2 linked regions of the Sus scrofa genome follow. Each later gene encodes a partner of the first gene's protein in a complex. Links are inferred from orthologs where the notes say so. Each region holds a gene or a part of one and is shown on either strand. Other genes may lie near its edges.

Region 1 (9,534 bases):
CCGCTAACAGAACCGTGGCTGCTTGGGGCTGCGCTCCCCAAGGACAGAACCCCTGGTGATCCTTCGGCTCCTCTATGGCAAGAGGGACAGAGGAAGGCTCTGGTGGAGGAAAGAGCACGAGCAGACAGTTCAGTGATCTTTTGGAAAGGGCCTGGCCGCCCCTCGTAAGAACTCTGAGGTTCGCCTGCCTCCTCACGCACAGCTCTGCAGTCGCATGTGCTCCGTACTGACAGGGAGGATGCCCGGTCGCTTCCGCCAAGAGACAAAAATGCATGGAGGGGTGTGGCCCTCCCAGCTCCCGAGAGACGAAGGAACCCGGGGTTGACCCTGAGGTCTAATCGCAGCCTCAGTGCACCCTTGAGTGAGGTATCTATCCTTCCTGGGAGATCACTTTTCTCACCAATAAAATGGGCCCAATCATAGGACCCCTCCTGTAGGGTCGTTCTGAGCGTCGAAGGAAGTAACGCGTGGGAAGTCCTCAGCAGAGGGCATGGCGCATGGCACATGCTCTGCAAGTTTTGGCTTCTTCCATCTGCGAGAGGAGCAGGGGCCCGTGGGAGGTCCGTTACTTTGGCTCCTCACACCCTGAGCAGGAAGGTTCTGCAGGATTAGCAGCCCTAGAACCAGGGCCAGGGAGGGAGAGGCGTGCGGTTGCACAGGAAGAGATGCAAGCGGCCACCTGAGCTGAAGGTGGGTGCCGGGGCAGGTGGCAGAGGCGTGGAGAAGTGTGCCTTCTTGCTCTTGGCAGTGGCGGGGGGCACATCTGGAAGGTATAACCCATCATGAGAAAGCAGTCTCACAGCTGGATCATCCCAGACTCCCAGGAAGCACGGAACAGTCCTTGCCCCGCTGACCTGCCTTGGAGGCTCTCCGATGCCACCTCACAGGGCTGGTCATGGGATCCTTCTCTGACGGCTGCAGTGCTTGTCCGCACGAGCCCTGCCCAAGCTTCCTTTCATCCTTTTGTCACCTGCCCTGAAGAGTTCTGGCCACTCAGAGGGACAAGGCAGACCTTCTGTGGGAGCCCTTAGGAGCTCAGAGCCTTCGAAGGGCTGCTCCTGAGTGGCCGATAGCTCTGTCCCACCAAGGCTGATGCTTCTTCTCTCCTGGCTTCGCTCTGAGGCTTCTGCATGCCGGCTGGTCTCTTTCCGATCAAAGACACGCTCCCCCTCGTGATTAGAATCCCCGTGAACACCGGAGCCTCATCTGTGTCGCTCATGGCAGCATCCCCAGCCCTCAGCAGAGCCTTGGCGTGCTGTAGGCATTCAGCAGATGGATTGGTCGGATAAGTGGTGTGTTGGAGGCATGGCATTTTCTGGGCTGAATCGGGGAGCACTCCTCTCAGAAAAAACAGGCCCTTCAAGCTGGGGCAAGTCCCCTCCAGCTCCCTGGGGGCAGGCTTCCTCCCTACGCTGCCCTAGGGGCATCGCTGGCCAGCAGGCTGGGCCACCTCGCAGGTTCATTGCTGCGGCGCACCTTGCCCCCCACCCCGCCCCGCTTCCTCCTGCTTCAGAGAAACTCCTTGTTCTGTGTACGTGACATATTTTGATTGTCTGGAAGCATCACTGAGTGGTTCATCTGTTAAAGCTGCCCTCCCATAGTGAGGCCTCATTTACTTACTTCTAATCCCATGGTGTGCTGGGCCGCCTCTCTTGTCTTGGAAGTCGCGTTGGTAGTTTCGGGGTGAGAGGAGAAGGATGAGTTGACCACCCGATGAAATTCTAGACTCCTGAGACAGGTGAGGTCAAGCCTTGGAGTTGCCCGAGGCCCGCCCAGCAAGACTGAGGATTATTGAATTATTATTGAGCCCCACCAGACGCCAGGGCGGCACAGATCCCCGAGTTAGACATGGTGCCTGCCTTCTCCATGGCAACAAGGCTAAATATGGACGCGTTTCCATGGAGAGCCATCTTGCAGCTGCAGCCCTGCTTCCTCCAGGAAGTACCCGCGCTGGGCTCCCTTGGCCTCTCAGGAGGCGGCCAGAGGTGCCCCAGACATCAAGAAAGCATGGCTCACCCTTGAGGATGTTTGGTTCCAACCAGCGTTCCATTTCCCCAGCCCTGGATCCATCAGCATCCCCTCTTCTGGACACCTAGAACTTAGGAGAGGTCACGGGTCAGACAGACGAGCTCCCTGGGGCAAGTGACACTTGACTGATGAGCACTCATGGGAGTCATCCCTTCCTCACCTTGCTCCTTGGAGCGGCTCTCACTCGTACTGGAGGAAAGGGAGCTGTCATTGGTCGAAGGGTGACAGCTGTAATGACCGTTGTGTAAATACACCGCCGCTCCCCTCCTCAAGCCTCTTTTGGAAGAATTATTGCTGCTTCAAAGCGTTTTTTAAATGGTTTCCATAATTGGGATGGCCCCCTTCCAAGGTCATAGAATATTCCAGTGTGACAGGGTTCTGCTTTTTTTCTTAAAGGACACCACGTCTTGGCTGCTGCTTTGGATTTGAACCAGTCTAGTCTCCGCCTATCTTAAGGGTCCGACACAGCACCGGGGAGCCACGCTCTGTGTTTGTGCCAGGCTGAACCTCCAAGCTGAGTGCTGGGTTTTGCGATACTCTGTTTAACCTCACTCGGCTATGTAGTCATTACATCATCTGTGCTTATCGTTTAATCGTCTGTTAAATTGGGGCCGTCCACGCACAGCTGATCAGACGGGTGTGTTCGTGTATGTTGGGAACGATCCGTGGCGTGCCCGTGTACACAGAGAGACGGGTGTGCTCCCCGGCTCCCTGAGATACCGAGAGAGCTCTTAAACCGTGGATGTGCGTGGTCTCTGAGGGACGATTCCGATTGTGTGTTCTGTGTTGCAGGCCAAGTGGCATCAGAGCCGAGTGATGGATGACCTGCAGTCCCAGAACCTGTCCATGGACATGACCGACTCGGCCCCCGCCTTGGCCAGCAACCGCCTGGAGAATGGCATGGCCCAGCTGATCACCACCGAGGCCTGGAACATCAACTCCACCGACCTGGTGAAGAAGGCCCTGGTGACCGTGCCGGCGCCGTCCATTCTGAACCCGCCGGCCGAGTCCCAGAGCGGCATGGCCCTGAAGGTGGCGGCCACCGTGCTGCAGCCCCTGTGCCTCGGGGAGAGCCCGGTGGTGATGCCCATTCACATGCAAGTGGAGGGCAGCTCGGCGCCCGAGCTCAACCCCAACGGCAACGCCACCTACGTCATGACCACGCAGGGCCCCGTCCAGCTGCCGGTGGTGCTGGAGCAGCACGTCTTCCAGCACCTCAACTCGCCGCTGGTCCTGCCCCAGGAGGCCCCGTGCTCCTCCGGCGCCGTCCACAGCAACCTCTTCCAGGGAGCCGAGGACCCGGAGGCGCAGCCCCAGCTCCTGGACCTGAGGATCCCCAGCCAGCCGCAGGAGCCCAGCCTGCCCTTCGAAGCCGTGCTCCAGAATCTGTTTCCCTCGCAGGGCGCTCTGGGCCCCCCACCCTGTCAGCCTCCTCCGGGCTACGCCCCCGTGCCCCCCCAGCCCTTTAACGCCCCGCTGTCGCCCCTGGTTCCGCCGGCCACCCTCTTGGTGCCCTACCCCGTGATCGTGCCCTTGCCGGTGCCCGTCCCCATCCCCATCCCCATCCCCGTGCCTCAGAGTTCCGAGTCCAAGTTCAGCCCCGGCTGCCCCAAGGCGCCGTCCTCCTTCGGCCTCCAGCCCTTTAGGGGCGGCCCGCCCGCCGTGCAGAAGGAGGAACTGAAGCCCTTCGAGCTCCTGCAGCCGCGGGAGTACTTCCAGCTCAGCCGCCACACCGTCATCAAGATGGGCAGTGAGAACGAGGCCCTGGATCTCTCCATGAAGTCGGTGCCCTGGCTCAAGGCTGGCGACGTCAGTGCCCCCGCCTGCCAGGAAGACGCGGCCCTCGACCTGTCGCTAGCAACCCACCGGCGATCGGAGCCCCCGCCACCGCCGGAGACACTGTGTGACAGCAGCGGGGCGGTGGATGGCCCCGGTCACGCCGCGATGGAGACACCGCCCGGTGGTGGTGTGGAAGTGCCCTTTGCCCCCGCCACACCCCACGAGGCCGCCGCCGCCGCCGCAATGGAGAGGCACCTGGGCGGCAGTGACGCTGCCGAGCCCCCTCGCCAGCCCAGCGGCGAGGTCAAGGCTGAGAATAACATTGAGCTCGGGAGCGAGTCCCAGGCGGCCAAAGTGATTGTCTCCGTGGAAGACACTGTGCCCACCATCTTCTGTGGCAAGATCAAAGGCCTCTCGGGGGTGTCCACCAAGAACTTCTCCTTCAAGAGAGAAGACGCCATGCTCCAGGGCTACGACATCAGCAGCCAAGCGGAAGAGTCCGCGGGCAGCGCGGAGCCCCTTAGGAAACCCATCAAAAACCGGAGCATAAAGTTAAAGAAAGTGAACTCCCAGGAAATACACATGCTCCCCATCAAAAAACAACGGCTCGCCACCTTTTTTCCCAGGAAGTAAATAGTGGCTTTTTAAAATTTTTATGATTATAATATGGGGAAAGGTGCATTGGTTTTATAAAAAGGCATTTAAAACAAATTATCTTTGTTAATTATTTGGGGGAGTAGTTGGGGAGCGGGAATGTGAATTGGCTGTAGAGGCCCTGTAAGCTAGTATCATTTTCTTTTTTAATTTTTGACTTTTCACAAATGAGTAAATAAGAGCAACCTATTTTTCAAGCAGATTGCACATTTTTTGCAGCTTTAATGGAATATTGGGTGAATCAGAGGGGTAAAAAAGCTATTTTCATTGCCACCAAGTGCTTTGATGATGTAATACCTAATAAAGGGTAGGATGACTATTTCACAATAAATGTTTGTTTGCACTAATTGGTTGCAGTATCCGATCATTTCTAAAATTTGCCTTCCTTAACTGGCATGGTTTGGCCCAAACTCGCCTGTACAGCCTGGCCCGTTAACCCCTGTTTGGAGACCCAAGTTCTCCAGGCACACTGGGCATACCGGGCAAAGAAGACTCGTACTGGCCTGTGGCCTCGGAAAAGGATGATTAGAAATACGGATGACCCTCCCCTTCTGGCCTCTTTCTTCGTTCGTAAAATGAGGCAAAGAGAGGGGGTGGTAGCCAAGGCCCCTGCGGTTCACAGAGACCCTGGATGTGCAGAGTTGTATGTCTGAAATCTTCCACAGACTAAAACAGACAAGTGCTTCGAAAGGAAAATGTACCTGCTTCCCCCCTCCTCCCCTCCCCGAATTTAACTGGAAGGACTTTCTTTTCAAGGGCCGTGGGATCCTTGTGCTGGATGACTGAGAAGCCCTGCAGGTCAAAAGCGTTACCAAAGGCCACTCAGAACAAGAGGAGAGTCGGTGGATTAGGAGGTAATCGCAGAGAGGTTCCCGGCCCTGGGGAGCGGGGCTTGGGAGCGGGGTCGAGGAGGGAGGCGATAGCCTTCCCTGGTTCCTTTAGCCCCGTGGTTCTTACGTCGGGGCGACGGTCCTCCCCGGGGGACATCCAGCAATGCCTGGAGATGCTTTTGGTTGCCGCGCTTGGGGGAGGGGGTGCTCCTGGCGTCTGGTGGGGAGACCAGGATGCCGCGAAGCCTCGCGACAGGACTCTGGGCAGCCCCCAGAGCCGAGAGCCATCCAACCCCACTGTCAACGGCGCCGAGGCCCAGAGCCCGAGGTGAAACGGTTTCTGGAGGGACAGAAGCGATGCTCCTGGAGGAAGAGAAGAGCGCAGAGCCACCCACGCCGGGGAGGAGCTGTGAGTGTACACGGAAGGCAGACCCGCTAGGCGGCGCACCCCACTTGCCTATGAGACCCCGCTGGCGCGCGGGCGGGCCTGCCTTTCACCTCGGAGCTCGCCCTTTCACTTCTTGCCATTCGGATGTATCCAGCTGTTACTGTGATCAAGAGCCGGAGGGAAAGCGGTTGCCAGACTGTTCTTTTATGGCCAGGCCCTCCGTGTCTAGGGTGACGGTTTGAGCTGGTCCCGTCCCATATACCCAGCGTGGCTTTTCTTTTTCCTGTTCTTGGCCTGTGTTGTTAGCATGTCTTTTTCAAAGTGCGACACAGGCATAAATCGTTGTTTCTTGTGAGGCCGACTCGTTCCATTCCCCTAGCACCGGCCAGACCCCCTCCTTTCAGCTTCTCCGTGAGGCTGTCTTTTTCCGTTTCGACTCCTCTGGTGGGTTCCTGGCCGTTTCCTGAGCCCGGGATGTGTGTTCCACTTTCAAATACAACCAGCACAGATGCGCCCGCCCGGGGACTAGCGTTTCCCATTCACCTGCTGTCTGGTTCTCACCAGGTTTGCGGTCGTTTCTGCTGCCCCCGCCGTGTCGGGCAGCTTTTCTCCAACAGCCAGCAGGGCCCCTGTCCTCGCAGTGTCCTGGGAAAAGCTGCTGCTTATCTATCCGGCTCTGAGGGAAGCGAAGTCTCGGTTTGCCCCTTGGATGCTCGTGCTTAAAGCTGAGAGGCGCACAGGTGGAAAGGAAGGCCTGTGGAACCCGGAGTCACATTATAAACATCGAGCTACGCATTTCCCTGTGTTGTATCTGAAGATGCCCTTTTCTCTTCAGCTGTCGGCTCTGGTCGGGCAGGCCGGCCCCCGGCCCTGGAACAGGCCTCTCCTCCCGCCCACCCGCGGGCCTGGCACTGGGGTCTAAGCGAGGCCGTTGTCATGGGGACTGGCCGTAGCGTTGGGAGACTTGCCGGTTGAGATCCATGCAGGCCGAACACGGAGTGTCGTGATGGGCCCAGGGTCGCGTTCCCGAGGCAGCGACATCCTCGGTCCGCCCCCTCCCCCCTTCCCAGAATCGACCAGAATCTACTTGGCTAGGAAATCAGGAGAAGGGGCGACGGCCCTGTGCCCACAGCCAGAGTGAGCCTCGGGTTCCCTGGTGGCTCCGTTCCACCGGCCCTTCCTAGTCCCCAGCGGGCAGCCCTTCACACAAACCTCGAGGAAGAACCATCATCTTGGATCCATGGTTCCTGGACCCTCCGTGCGGTGCGCGTGGCGTCACAGGGGTGGCCACTGGCAAGCCCTCAGGCCCCATCATTGTTCCGCTCCATTCTGATTCAGCCAGCTGGGGTCACTCTAAGCTCCCCACAAATCACAACTGTCTCCAGCTCACGTCCTTCCACGTTTCAACCATGCAGGATTTCCAGGCTTTTTCTCTTGACTTAATTTCCCATCTCTTCTCAGAAACGGTGTCTTGGCCAACTAGTCTAAAGAACAGCTTTTCAGAGTCTTTTAGGAAATATGATTCGTCCCCAGGAATGTTGATGCTTGCTCAGACTTATCAAGATGGGTTCAGTTGGCTTCAGTTCAGAAATGATAAAAAAAAAAAAAAAAAAAAAAAAAAAAAAAAAAACTGGCATACGTTACTAAGATCCACATTTGGGGATGGTGATCCTCCTGGTAAAGTAAAAACTAGTTGATCTAGAGGGAAAAAAGAAAGATTTAAAAGAGGATACAGTGGCTGTCCTAACCAAGGAAGTCCTTGACAGTGAGTCGAAAATTCTCAAGCAAGGTCAAACATTTGTTTAGGTTCAAAGGCAAAACTGTCACACTTTTAAGCATGAAAAAATGTCTGCAATGCTGAAAAAAACTCCGAACTCCAAAAGAAGGAAGGGCGGGGGGGAGGAGGAAGGAAAGAAGGAAGGAGAGAGGGAGGAAGGGGAAAGGCTGCCGATTCCTGAGCGAGGCTGTCAATATAGTAATTATCTTTATAAATAGCCTAATTAATAAAACAAAGCAGGAAAGGATTTGGATCTCATTTGACAAGTGAGAAAATTGAGGCTCAGAAGAGTTTGCTGCTCGCAGCTTCTAAGCATCAACAACTCAAAAATATGTACTTTGCAATGATTCTTAAATATTGGGTTTGAAGCCCAATGAACCCACAGGAATTTGGATCCTTTGGGGGCAGAAACCAGTATGAATTAGTGAAGGGTCTGAGTTACAGATTTTTTTTTTCAATTAGTTTCAAGACCATTCCAGTTAACTGGAACGCCCAGAGCACTTGGCACCACGGTAAAGGGGGGATTTCAAGCTGAAGGATGCCGACGCCAAGCCTCTAAAAAGCCACACGCGAAAGTTGCTAAGCTGAAAACTTTAACAGCAGGGGAAAAAAAGCCTTAGAGGTCATTCTGGCCGGCTTTACTCCTCATTAAATAAAAAAGGCAATTTTCCAGAACAGCATACTACCAGCAGGTCAAATAACTGACCTCCCACTTCAGCGAAACGAAATAGGGTGTATTTGACGTCTTTAGGGTGCCATTGTAATAAATTGAGATTTGATTTTAATTAACATATGGGTGATTTTATAGTATGTAGTACATATGAGCACTCGAAAGAACTCGTTCCAAACTAGTGCAATTGTCCCACCTACCGCTGTTATTAGACCAGGGGATTTTTAAGCAAAATGGAGATTTCAGCTATGCTCTGCCAAAATTACGAACAAGTTCAAGTTAAAGAGGAGGAACTGGTGAGGTTGACTGTGTTAACCCAACTTGGAGGTTATTTTCCATCCAACTGTATTCGGTATAGACACTCACATAAAAGTGTAGGCTCACGCTGCTGGTAACCACGCGAAAGGACGCCTGGATCCTGTCCTCTCTCTGCTAAATCCTTTTTGTCACATCGAAGGGTTGGTAACCCGGTCAGTTAGTAAGAATGCGATGCACCCGTTGGTATGGATAGCACCATTGCTCTCAGTCCCAAAAGGCGTCGGGAATATGGAACACCGCACTGAACAGGCCAGATGCTCGGAGAGCAGGGACTGAATCTTAATTTATCTCAAGGCTCCTCCACCTCGGCACTGTTGGCATCCGGGACTGGATGCTTCTCTGTTGTAGGGCGCCATCCTGTACACACTAGGATGTTAAGCAGCATCTCTGATCTCTACCCGTGAGATGCCAGGAGCACCCCCTCCCTCGCCCCAATTGTGGCAATGAAATGTCTCCAGACACTGCCAAGAGTCCCCTGGGGGGCCAAGTCGCCCCTGGTTGAGAGCTGCTACTTTATCTGTAGGGTCTCTCTAACACCCGGCCCCTAGCAGGAGCTCAAACATTCTTTGAAGAGTGAATTTAATCAAGAAAATCCAAAAGAGAGGTCGGTAGCTCCGAACTCTGGTCCCCACTCGTATTTTCTGGTTTGCTACCTCAAGCTGATCTGACCAGGAAACTATTATTGGGAACCTCCATTCATCCATCCGAAGGGCCCTCCCTCATCCGGCATGTAACAAGGTCTTCTAGAAGCATCTCCCTAGTAAAGGGATTCAGCAAGACTACCCCACCTCACAAAAGGGGCAGGCACTCGCTCAGCCAGCGAGTTATAAAGGATGCCTTAGCCCTGTACCAACACCACGACACTGAAAGGACCCTTATTCAAAACTCACCCTGTCATGATTTCTCAACAGTCTTACTTCCAAGGGCAGCATGACCCAGGAATTTACAAATGCTGCCAGGAAGCTGGATGTGTTTTTTTTTCCCCCCTCAAATTTTACCTAAATCCTTCTTGCTGTAATCAAGCCCAGTTTTTTGTTTGTCCTTAATGGAAACAAAGGCTAAACCTCCTCTGTTGAGTAGTTTCCTATTT
Region 2 (10,244 bases), on another chromosome or scaffold:
CTCCCTGATGTTGTTTTTTGCTGGAAAATCCAGCCTGCAAAGCCAGCTGGGCGCCGGCCCGGAGCAGCTGGGGCCAAGCGGCCGGTGCTCTGGCAGATGCAGGCTTGATGCCTCTTCCTGCCTCCTCCGGGCCCAAAGCTGGTGGGGGCAGCAGCGAAGGGGCCTGGCCAGTGGATACCCGAGGCCGCAAGGAGAGCGCCCGCCTCCCTGCTCAGGCCACCCCAGGAGAAAAGTCCCCAAACTCCCGCAGAGCCCAGCACATCCGCAGATCCTGGCGACGGGCGTCCACTGCCGTCCCCATGGCCCTGAGCCCCTGACCAAGGACCACGGCAGCGGCAGACTTGATGCGGGTGGGAGCAGCAGGGGGTGTGCCGTCCTCCCGACCCAGCCCCTCCTGGGATGGAGCCCACGGGGCCACGTGGGGCCACGCAATTTCTCCTTCGTGGTCTATGCCTCGGCAGTCCTGCGGGTTAACCAGCCCTTGCGCCCCCACCGCCACCCCGAGGCGCGCCCTCCACAAAGGGGCCAGTCCTTTCCCCTCGGCTCCGGCCGCCCCGCTCCGTTGCGCGGTTGCAGGCAGGCGCGCACGCACACCCAGCCAGCTGTCCTCGGTGTCTCTTCCCTGGGGTGCCCGCCTCTGTCCCTGGGCTCCGTCCGATTTTCCTCGTGCCTGGGTTTCACAGCCCCCAACTCACAGACCTCCCCCCTTCGTCCACATTCACTGGGAGAGAAGAACTTGCTGACACAAGAGCTGCAGTTTTGACGGGGTCAGAGCATGTGCGCTTCCCGTGTTACCCCTCCCCCAGCCGCCAGCACCGACGGGTGGTTGTCCCGCCGGCGCCTTGCTGACTCCCAGGCTGCTGGAGTCGCGCGGTGGCCACTCCGGGTCTTCAGAAAACAAGCAAAGTGGGGGAGGGCTCTGCCGTGTGCACGGCCTTCCACGTCCCGGGGTGACCTCGAGCTGCCCCTGCGAACAGCCCCATCCTCCCCTCCTACCTGCTTCGTGTGCTTCGCGGGTCCAGTGGCGCTTTCTGTGCAGGTGCCGCTGGCACACGTGGGCGGCTTCTCGCTGCCCTCCCACTATTCCTGCCTCTTCCCCCTGCTCCCACCTCGTCCTGGGCATCTGGTGGAGGACAAAACAGACCACACGCCGCCCTCCTGAAGCTCACGCTTCTGCAAAGGCAGTTAGGTGAAAAAAGGCTCGCGTTCGACTGTAAACAGGGCTTCAGCTCTGAAGCATAAAGAGGTCAGCAGCGGTGAGTCCTGTCCTGAGGATGGAAAAATCGACAGGGTTCCTGGATCCACCCCAGAGCCGAAGTCGCAGGGCAAATGGCCACCCTGAAATCTGGGGAAAGAGGCACGGGGGCTGAGACAGGGAGGACGCCTCTGCCGGGGACAGTGGGGACCTGCGGGGGGCTGGGCAGGCGGGAGAGAGAGAGACTGGGGGACAGAAAGCCTCTCCATCCCCCAGGGGCCCGGCCCCCACCCAACCCACGCCCGGGGCCCCGTGCGTCACCTCGACTGGCTGTGCAGGTCACGCCCCGGGCGCGGCTCAAGATGAGTCTGGACTGTCTTTTTCTTTCTGGAATTTTTAATCAGAGTCAATGCCATGTCCCAAAATGACTGGAGGAGGCGGTCAGTGGGACATCAGAGGTGTTTCTTCTTTAAATGTTTGTTAGGATTGACCACTGAAGCCATTTGTAATCTCTGAGGAAGTGTTTTTGTTTTTTTTCAGGTTCCACTTTTTCTTTCTCGGCTGCGCCGGTGGCACGTGGAAATTCCTGGGCAGGGATCAAACCCGCCCCACGGTTGTGACCCGAGCTGCTGCGGTGACAGTGCTGGGTTCTTAACGGCTGCGCCATGAGGGAACACCTTAAGTTCGATTTCTTTTCTTTTCTTTCTTTCTTTCTTTTTTTTTTTTTCTGCTTTTTAGGGCCGCACATGTGGCATATGGAGGTTCCCAGGCTAGGGGTCCAATCGCCACAGCCACAGCAACGTGGGATCCGAGCCACATTTGCCACCAACACCACAGCTCCTGGCAACGCTGGATCCTTAACCCACAGAGCGAGGCCAGGGACCGAACCTGCACCTCATGGTTCCTCGTCCGGTTCGTTAATGCTGAGCCACGACGGGAACCCCTTGAGTTCAATCTCCTAAAGTTATAGAGCCCTTCAGATCCCTTACTTGGTTTTAGCTCAAGTGTGGTTTCCACCCCTTCTAAACTTTCTCCGGACAGTTGGGCCCCCGCCCCGCGTCATTCCCCTGACCTCGGGAACGGGTCGCCCTCCTTCTCACTTCGGACCCTCACTGCACTTGTCTTATTTATTTTACTACCTACTAAAGCGCTGTTGAACTTGACACTCTCTACGGTGCCTTCTAGGACCCATTCCAGGTTGACGCCTATTATTTATTCACACCCGTAGTTCACAGCCTGATCCTGTCCCTCTTCTTCCGGCTGCTTTTGCAACACGGACGCGTGTGTCTGGATCTCGGCTTCTGTTCTCTCCTGAAGCGGGTACCGAAGCTCTCAGCCTCTCCATTACCAGCTCCCAGCTTGTCATGCCGTCTTTTCCCTGCTGTTGACGACTCCCTGGAGGCCAGCGGGTCTCTGCAGAATTAACTCTCCCTGCACCCCAGGGATGACGGAGGGCAGAGCCGTGCCCTCCCAGCGGAAAGGACCACAGACGCAGGGCCGAGGTGCAGAGCAGAGCCCGGGGACAGGCGGCGTGCCACGAGGGGAGCTCACCCGTCAGGGCGTGGCCGGACCGAGGGTGCCCTCCAGAACCTTCCCACCGGCAGGGGTCTGTAGACGGCCGCTTGGCAGGACCACCAAGGACGCGGCCCTGGTGCAGGATCCGAGGGCAGTGGAGGCGGAGGACCAGCTGCAGCCGTGCTGGTGGCGGAGGGGACACGCGGGGGACGGGGTAGCCCCTGAGGACGGGAGGTGGTGCGAGGAGGACCAGCTGGTGCAGCCGGAGCGTCGGGACAGGCGTCCCGCGAGCTGCAGAGCCAGCGGCCTCTGCCGCCCTGGGGCGGGGGGTGGGGTGTGGGGGGGTCCCAGGTCCCAGGCTGCCCGAGGGCGCACCGCCTGCGTCTTCTGCAGCAGCAGGGTCACAGCCCCCCGGGCTCCCCACTGCAGGCCCAGGGCCACCACAGACGGGACGGAGACCCACCAGGGACCCGGGAAACAAAGCCGTGAACACAGACGCTGGGCGTGCCGGCTCTTTCTGGGATTTTTATTTCTTTAAAATAATTCATACAAATGGTTACAGTCACAAACATGATTTTAACCAAAATATTGCTAGCCTACCACATCAGCAGGACGGCTCCGCTCGGCGGGCGCGGGGCCCTGGCCCCCGGGGCAGAGGCGCACGCTCTGCCCGCCTGGCGGCGCCGCCTTCGTTTGGAACAAGGGGGTTCATGCCAAAATTAGGAAAGACAGCCTGGGTGTTGCTTTTCTAAATTATCCTAAAAATAAGACAAGCAGGTAGAAAAAACAATGCACTGTGTGGCGTAAAAAGAAAACCGGAGGGATTCATTGTCCTGAGAAGTTTGCCAACTGCCTGGTCCGGGGCGCGCGGCACTCACGGGGCGGCCTGGGCGGACGCCGGCGCTCCCGCGGGCGTCTCTGCCGACAGCTAAGCAAACAAATCCTTGTAATGTTCTAGAGACTGTGCACAGACGGGAACATTCATGACGGAATTAACTACGAACTGCTTTTGCTTAACAAGGACGCGAAGGACACAGGGCAGCGGCTGGCCCTCGGGACGGGACAACTACAGTGACGCGAGGAGGCCGGCGCCACCTCTCACCACCTGGAGCCCGGGCCATCTCTGGAGGCCGCGGCCGCCCGTCGGCGCTGCCCCTGCACACGCCTGTCCGAGGGCGCGGCCCCTTCGGCGCTTGCGGCGGCGGCGAGGCTTCGGAGCTCTGCCCGGGTTACAACTGGTCGCTTGCGTGGTCTCTATCCGCCTCGGGCTTGACGGTTTGGCCTGGAGAAGGCGCGTGGGGCGGGTGGGATACAGGGGGCAGGCCGTGGGACAGGGACATGGCGCTGGGGACAATGCCTTCGACTGCGGCTGGGATGCCACTGGGGGCCACGCCTACCACGCCCGGGGGTACCTGCTGGGAGAGGAAGGGCCGCAGGTGAGGCCGGGGGCAGGGACCCTGGGCTGTGGGCCCAGCGGAGACGGCGGCAGAGGCAGGTGGCGGCCTTGAAGGCACCCCCGCCCTGCCCCCTCCACGCCCCCCGGGGAACGCCCCCCAGGGAGCTGGTCTTGTGGCCACCAGGCCCCGAAGGCTGCCCCCACGCGTGTCACCCCAACCGTCCAAGTCCAGGCCCCCGCCCACCGGGGGCTCACCTGTAGGCGGCCCCGTTGAGCTCGGGGTGCACCACGGCTGGGTCCACGCTGGCCCAGTGGGTGGCTGCTGCCAGGTGGTCCTTGTTCACACAGTTCTTCAGGCTGTCAGGGATCCGGCCTGGAGACGGCACAGACAGGGACAGTGCCCACGTCAGCTGCCCCCAGGGGGACCCCAGGAGCGTGGGGGCTCGTCGGTGGCATGGGCCACCCCCCTAGGAGCCACAGGGGCCCCGAGGAGCACTCCCGAGGCACTTTGGGATCCTGCCTGTCTGGGCAGCGTCACCCTTGTGGCCCGGGGCCCCTCAGCTCATCAGGGTCTCCGAGCCCATCTGACGGGCCCGGGCATCTCCCGGAGAAGCTGGCAGGGCCCAGCCCAAGAGGTTCACAAGCACAAACCGCTTTTTAAAAGGCGGAGAAAAGATACACGTGCAGAAAGCCCTGTGGGACAGTGAGTGTCACGAGCGTGACACCAGCACCTGGGGCTGTGCGTGTGCAGGGGTCCCCCATGGGGGCTGGTCTCTGCGCAGTGTCCCCGCCAGCGGAAGATGGAGGCGGCCCCCACGAGGGCCTCGGGCCCACCCGCCGCCGGCCGCCGCCCACCTGTGATGGCTCTCCGGATCTCGCGGGCCGCCTCCTCCCGCATCTCGATGGAGGCCTGCTCGCTGTACCAGGCTGCGTGCGGGGTGCAGATCAGGTTGGGAGCGTCCTTCAGGGGGCCCTGGCTAAAGCTACACAGCACGGGGCAGTCAGAGCGCCCAGGCGGGCAGAGGGTGCCCACCCCGCCCAGAGCTGGAGCTACCCTCCGTCTCCCCGGCCCCCATCAGGCGCAGGGACGCGAGCATCCTGGCCCCGCAGCCCCCGAGACTCGGCCGGGCCCTGGGAGGAAGGTCTGCCTGCCACGGGACCTCAGGCTGGGGGCGAGGCCTGAGTCCTCCCGGGCCCTCGGACCCTCGGCGGCCTGAGGCCAGGACTGGAGACCGTGCATGGGCAGTGGGGCCACCCCCCGCCCCCCCCGGCGCCGAGCAGCTCTGTGGCCAGCGTGGGGTGCGAGCCGGGGCAGGGGGGATCTCGGCGACGCCAGGGCGTCACGGGAAGCACCTGAAGGGCTCCGACTCGTGCACGTCCAGGGCCGCGCCGCGGATCCGCCCCTCCTTCAGCGCCTGGGCCAGCGCCTTCTCGTCCACCAGGCCGCCCCGGGCCGTGTTCACCAGGAAGGCCCCTTGTCTCATCTGGAAGACAGAGACCGTGTGACCTGAGGACCCTCCCCAGACCCAACTTCACCCCCAGACCAGCTGCTGCAGGGCTCGGCTGCTGCCCCTCGGTTCAGGTGGCTCTTCTCGTCCCTGTGGGCTCCCGCCCGTCCTGGCCTCACGCCACGGTCCCCGCTGCTGTCCCCCCAAGGCCCCAGCGGCTGCCTGGCCCTAGTCACTAGCCCCACTGTCCACGGGCAGACAGCACACACACCCGTCCCCACACACACACGTGCCCACAAGTGTCCGTAAGCACACCTGCACCAGGCAAGACCCCAGCACACGCCAACATCTGCACAACCTACACGCACAGAACGGCCGGCGCGTGAACAGTGTACACGCGCGGCCACACGCGCGCTCACACGTAAACACAGGACATGTGCACACACACGTGGGTGGGAGTCGTCACCCAAACTTCTCCACCGCACGCGGGTGCGCTGTGCCTGCAAACACGCGCTGTGCATACAGCCACCTGGAAGGCCCGGGGCCATCGGGTCAGGGAAGGAGGCCCCAGGATTCGGGGGGCCCGGTGGGGGCGGTGGCACCAGCAGACCGGCCACCAGAAGCCCGTCTGCCCCTGACCTCGTGCGCCCAGGCTGCACCCTCGCCCCGTGGCCGCCGCCCCGAGACCTGCTTGACGGTGAAGTCGTTGATGAGGTGGTGGTTGTGCTCGTTGAGGCCGCAGTGCAGGGTCACGCAGTCGCTGTGGAAGAGCAGGTCCTGCAGGGTGCTGACCCGCTGCAGCCCCAGCGCCCGCTCCGTGCCGTCCGCCAGGTAGGGGTCGTAGAAGAGCACGTTGAAGCCGAAGGCCTTGGCCCGCAGCGCCACCGCCTGCCCCACGCGACCTGGGGGGACAGGGTGTCACCGCAGCCCCGCCTCGGCTGTCCCGGCTCCCCAGGGCAGGGGCTCCACTCCCAGATGCAGAGGGCCACCGAGGCGGGCCAGGGGCTGCAGGCTCAGGACCGGCCCCGCGCCCTGGAGCCCGGGCCCCTGACCTCAGCTGCTGAGAAGGACACAGGGGCTCAGGGTCCCTCCTCCAGAAGGGACTCTGCCCTGGTGACCACGGGCTGCCACAGTGGAGGCAAAGCAGGGGACCTGGGCAGGCCAGGAGCCGGGAGGGGTGCCACGCCAGGGCTCTGCTCCTGGAGGACGCGCTGCCTCTCGGGCCACAGCAGCCCTCAGGGGACCGCTCTGCTCTGGGCAGCAGGGCACCTGGAAGCAGGCACTGGGCGTCCTGGGAGGGGTGGGGCGCGGGCCGGAGCAGAGGCTGGGGCTGCGGTGCCCAGCGCTAGTTTAGCACGGCCTCCGGGACCTCCCACTCGGCTGGCTGGTCACCTTTACTTTTCATTTTTTCTCTCTTTATGGCCACGCCCACAGGAGTGACCCAAGATGCTGCCGTGACAACGCTGGATTCTGAACCTGCTGCCCACGAGGGAACTCCTGCGGCTGGTCACCTTTGGACCGGGCACCGAGACCCCTGAGCAACACCGCCTGGGGGTGATGTGGCCCAAAGCCATTTGTCCAGGCAAACCGTCCCCCAACATGCCACGTGGGCCGGGCTGTCCCTGCTCTCACACCTCACAGGGCTTGGAGGTGGCAGGGCTGTGGGGCTCGTACCAGCCCCAGCGTCCGCGTGCGCACGCCTGGTGCATCAGGGAGCAGCGCTGGGGAGCGACACCGCGGCCCACAGGCAGCCAGGGCCCTGACCCCTGCACCAGCGCAGGCGCCTCTGCCCCCCACGCTCCCCTTGGCCACGGAAGGCGGTGCCGCGGTGGAGGGCCGGAGCCTGTGGGAAACCAGGAGGATGGGTGCCCGGGATCTGCGGGGAGGTGGCACAGAAGAGGGTGGACGGTGCCACGTGACCTCAAGCGCAGGCGCTCCTGCCCCTCAGGCCGCAGGCCCCTCCCTCCACACTGGCCCTCACCACCCGGCACCTCTGCCCCCAGCACGTCCCCACCCCCCGGTGTGCTGCCTGGCAGGAGGCCTGGGCTGGCCCAGGGCCGGGCCGGTGCCCCTTCAACATCTGTGTGCACGTGGCCACGCCTGCGCTTCCAGGTCAGACCTGCCCGCCCGCGCTGCCCCATCTGGGAACCATCTGGGGCGGGGGCACTTGGCCGCACAGCTGAGCCCCGGCCTCTGCCACAGGGGAGCCACACACGGGGCGTGAGGGGCGGGGGGGCGCACCTAATCCGATGATGCCCAAGGTCTCCCCGCGGATCCTGGCGGCCCCGGAAGCCACTTCTCGGATCTGCTCGACGCTCTGGACCCGCGTGCCCTCCCGCAGCGCCTGGTGCAGCCACGTGGTCCTGCGGTACAGGTTGAGGATGTGGCACATGGTCGAGTCAGCGGTCTCCTCCACGGACGCGGCTGGCACATTGCACACCGCGATGCCTGGGGACACGAGACACACGGGGGCGTCACTGGAGGCCACGTCCCCGGCAAGCCCCTGTCCGCACCGCCTGGGGTCCCGCGGGCGGACAGGCTGGGGAACAGGAGGCGGGACCGCACACGTCGCCATGGCAGCGGGGCCACCCTGAGGGAGGCTCTAGGCCCCCGGCAGCGCCCGGCATGTCCTCGCCCGCCAAGGCCGTGACTGGACCAGAACGTCATGGAGACGGAGCCGGAGACGGGACCGAGCGCGCCCCAGGCACGAAGACACTCGCGTGTGTCCCGGGTTACAACGTACCTCCTTTGCCCGACCCGACCCCCGTCTCCTCCGCCCCAGGGAGGTGGGCTGTGCAGACGGGGTGCACCACCCACACAGCTCGGCCTGAGGGATACCAGTGCCACCCGACGGGGCTGGCGTGGGGCCTGCGGCCCGCCTCCAACCAGGCAGGCTGCAGCCGGATCCGCCTCCTCCCGGTAAAACGGACGGACAAGACAGAAGGTGACGTGGTCTCGGTGAGGACAGAGCCTAAGGCTGCAGAGACCAGGGTCCGGGGCCGTCCTACCCAAGTCCCCGGCTGACTTGATGTCGATGTTGTCGAAGCCGCTGCCGATTCGGACGATGATGCGAAGGGCCTTGAACTTCTCCAGGTCCTCCCGGGTCAGGGTGATGGTGTGATACATGAGCGCGCCCACGGCCTCGTTCAGCACCTGCACAGGGACAGTGCGCTGAGCCGAGGCCGCCAGGGAGTCCGGCCGGGCCTGCGGGCGCTGCAGGCCCCCCGGGAGAGGCCGCCCAGAGCCCCCTCGAGAGGCCCGTGGGGCCCGCAGGGACGGCCCTGACTCGGCACAGGCTTCTCAAGGACACAGAGGGTCCATCGGCACAGGCAGCGCTCGGCACGCTGCCCTCTCCTCGGCCACCGGACTCCAGGCCAGAGCGGGTGGGAGCGGGGAGCACGGGGGCCCCAGGCAGCAAGACCACAGACCTGAAAGGCGGGCAGCACCTCGAGAGCTGCTTCCGGAAGGAGGCAGCCACGAGGCCGCAAGGCCACTTTGAGCTGCCCAGTCCCCATGCAGCGAACACCCCAGTGGGCGTGGCGCCCCTTTCCTTGTGTGGGGTGGGCAGTGTGGCCTTGTGGTGACCGTGCAGGAAGCCTGGCCTCCAGACGGCGCGGGGCGGCCCAGGGCGGTAGGTCACTCCTCTGGGAGGAGTGAGGAGCTGCCACGGCCCCTGCGCACCACCCACCGCGCCACGGACCTGGGGGGTCGCCTCCCTGAGAGGAGGGTTCCCGAGTGGGGCTGGGCTCTGTGCACCCAGGCCCAAGAGGCAGACCTTGCCAGCTGTGACCCCAGTGAGGCCCGGCTGCCTCTGTGTCCCTCGAGCACGGCCGGGGCTCCAGGCCTGAGGGAATCCACGGCCAGTGCAGGGCTCCGGGGCACCTGCCCAGGCAGGGTGCTGTGGTCTTGGGGGGCCACTCCAGGTGAAGCCCACTGGGCCCCCAAGAGTCTGGCTGGCACAGGGAAGAGGTCCCCCCTCAGTGCAGCCCAGAGCCAGTGCCAGCCTGCCTGTGTGTGGCACCCCTAGTTCCCAGGGGCATGCCCAGCTCCACATGGAACGGATGAGGGTGGTGCAGGTGCAGGAAGGTGGAGGCCATACTCCAGGGCAGCGAACAAAGCCCACGGGGTCCGCCAGGCCTCCCCGGGCCAACGGCCAAGGGTGCAGGGTAACCTGACCTCTGGGCCCAAGGGCAAGGGCTGCGGAGCCCGGGCCACCCAGCCAGACACTCCTGTGACCCAGGACAGGTCCCAGTTTACTCCCCCCGACAGGACAGTGTAATCAGGGACGTCTCTTGATACGTGAGACCCAGGAACCCGTGGCTGACATACCTGCTGCCCTCCCCTCCGGCCCGAGCTTCCTCTGCTGACCCTGGGCTCCCTGCAAGAGTGGCTGCTGGACACAAGGGCCCATGTGTGAGCCAAGGAAGCCGCGCGGACTGTGGCTGATGTGGGGGGGGGGGTGTCACGTAGGACACTGAACCGGAGACGCAGCCTGCGGTGAGAGGGCCTGCCCCGGTTCCCCCGTCCACAGCAGCTCCGCCTCGTTCTGCCTGGACATATGGGCCCAGGATGCCCCTGCTGGTGGATGTGGCCGCAGTGGCCACACAGAAAGGACCAAGGCAGGGACAGTGGCAGTGGCTCTGGTTCCTGCTCTGAAGGCCTGATCTCGGCCCCCGGGGTGGGGGCGCCT

The links. Proteins that work in one complex are often made in the same cells at the same time.
Region 2: the proteins of RAI2 (region 1) and CTBP1 are in contact, whole or in part, in a cryo-EM structure (PDB 8ARI), measured with the Homo sapiens proteins. The link is inferred for Sus scrofa from reciprocal best matches to the Homo sapiens genes RAI2 and CTBP1. Residues at the interface, in NP_001166210.2 of Homo sapiens: Glu315, Ala316, Leu317, Asp318, Leu319, Ser320, Met321, Lys322, Trp326; in NP_001319.1 of Homo sapiens: Arg36, Cys38, Met42, Val51, Ala52, Phe53, Cys54, Asp55, Gln57, Gln60, Glu61, His63, Val66.

Annotation. Positions count from the first base shown.
Region 1 is NC_010461.5:14,242,050-14,251,583, reverse strand, and holds the end of RAI2 (retinoic acid-induced protein 2), read left to right. Parts: intron 1-2,820; coding exon 2,821-4,440; 3' UTR 4,441-4,808; downstream 4,809-9,534.
Region 2 is NC_010450.4:471,949-482,192, forward strand, and holds the end of CTBP1 (C-terminal-binding protein 1), read right to left. Parts: intron 8,708-10,244; coding exon 8,563-8,707; intron 8,003-8,562; coding exon 7,796-8,002; intron 6,457-7,795; coding exon 6,242-6,456; intron 5,591-6,241; coding exon 5,460-5,590; intron 5,090-5,459; coding exon 4,962-5,089; exon of another isoform or gene 4,480-4,961; coding exon 4,362-4,479; intron 4,168-4,361; coding exon 4,167-4,167; intron 4,126-4,166; coding exon of another isoform or gene 4,123-4,125; coding exon 3,940-4,122; 3' UTR 3,222-3,939; downstream 1-3,221. Other genes in the region: uncharacterized protein LOC110262036, read left to right, coding at 1-763. UniProt on the Homo sapiens protein: Corepressor targeting diverse transcription regulators such as GLIS2 or BCL6. Has dehydrogenase activity. Involved in controlling the equilibrium between tubular and stacked structures in the Golgi complex.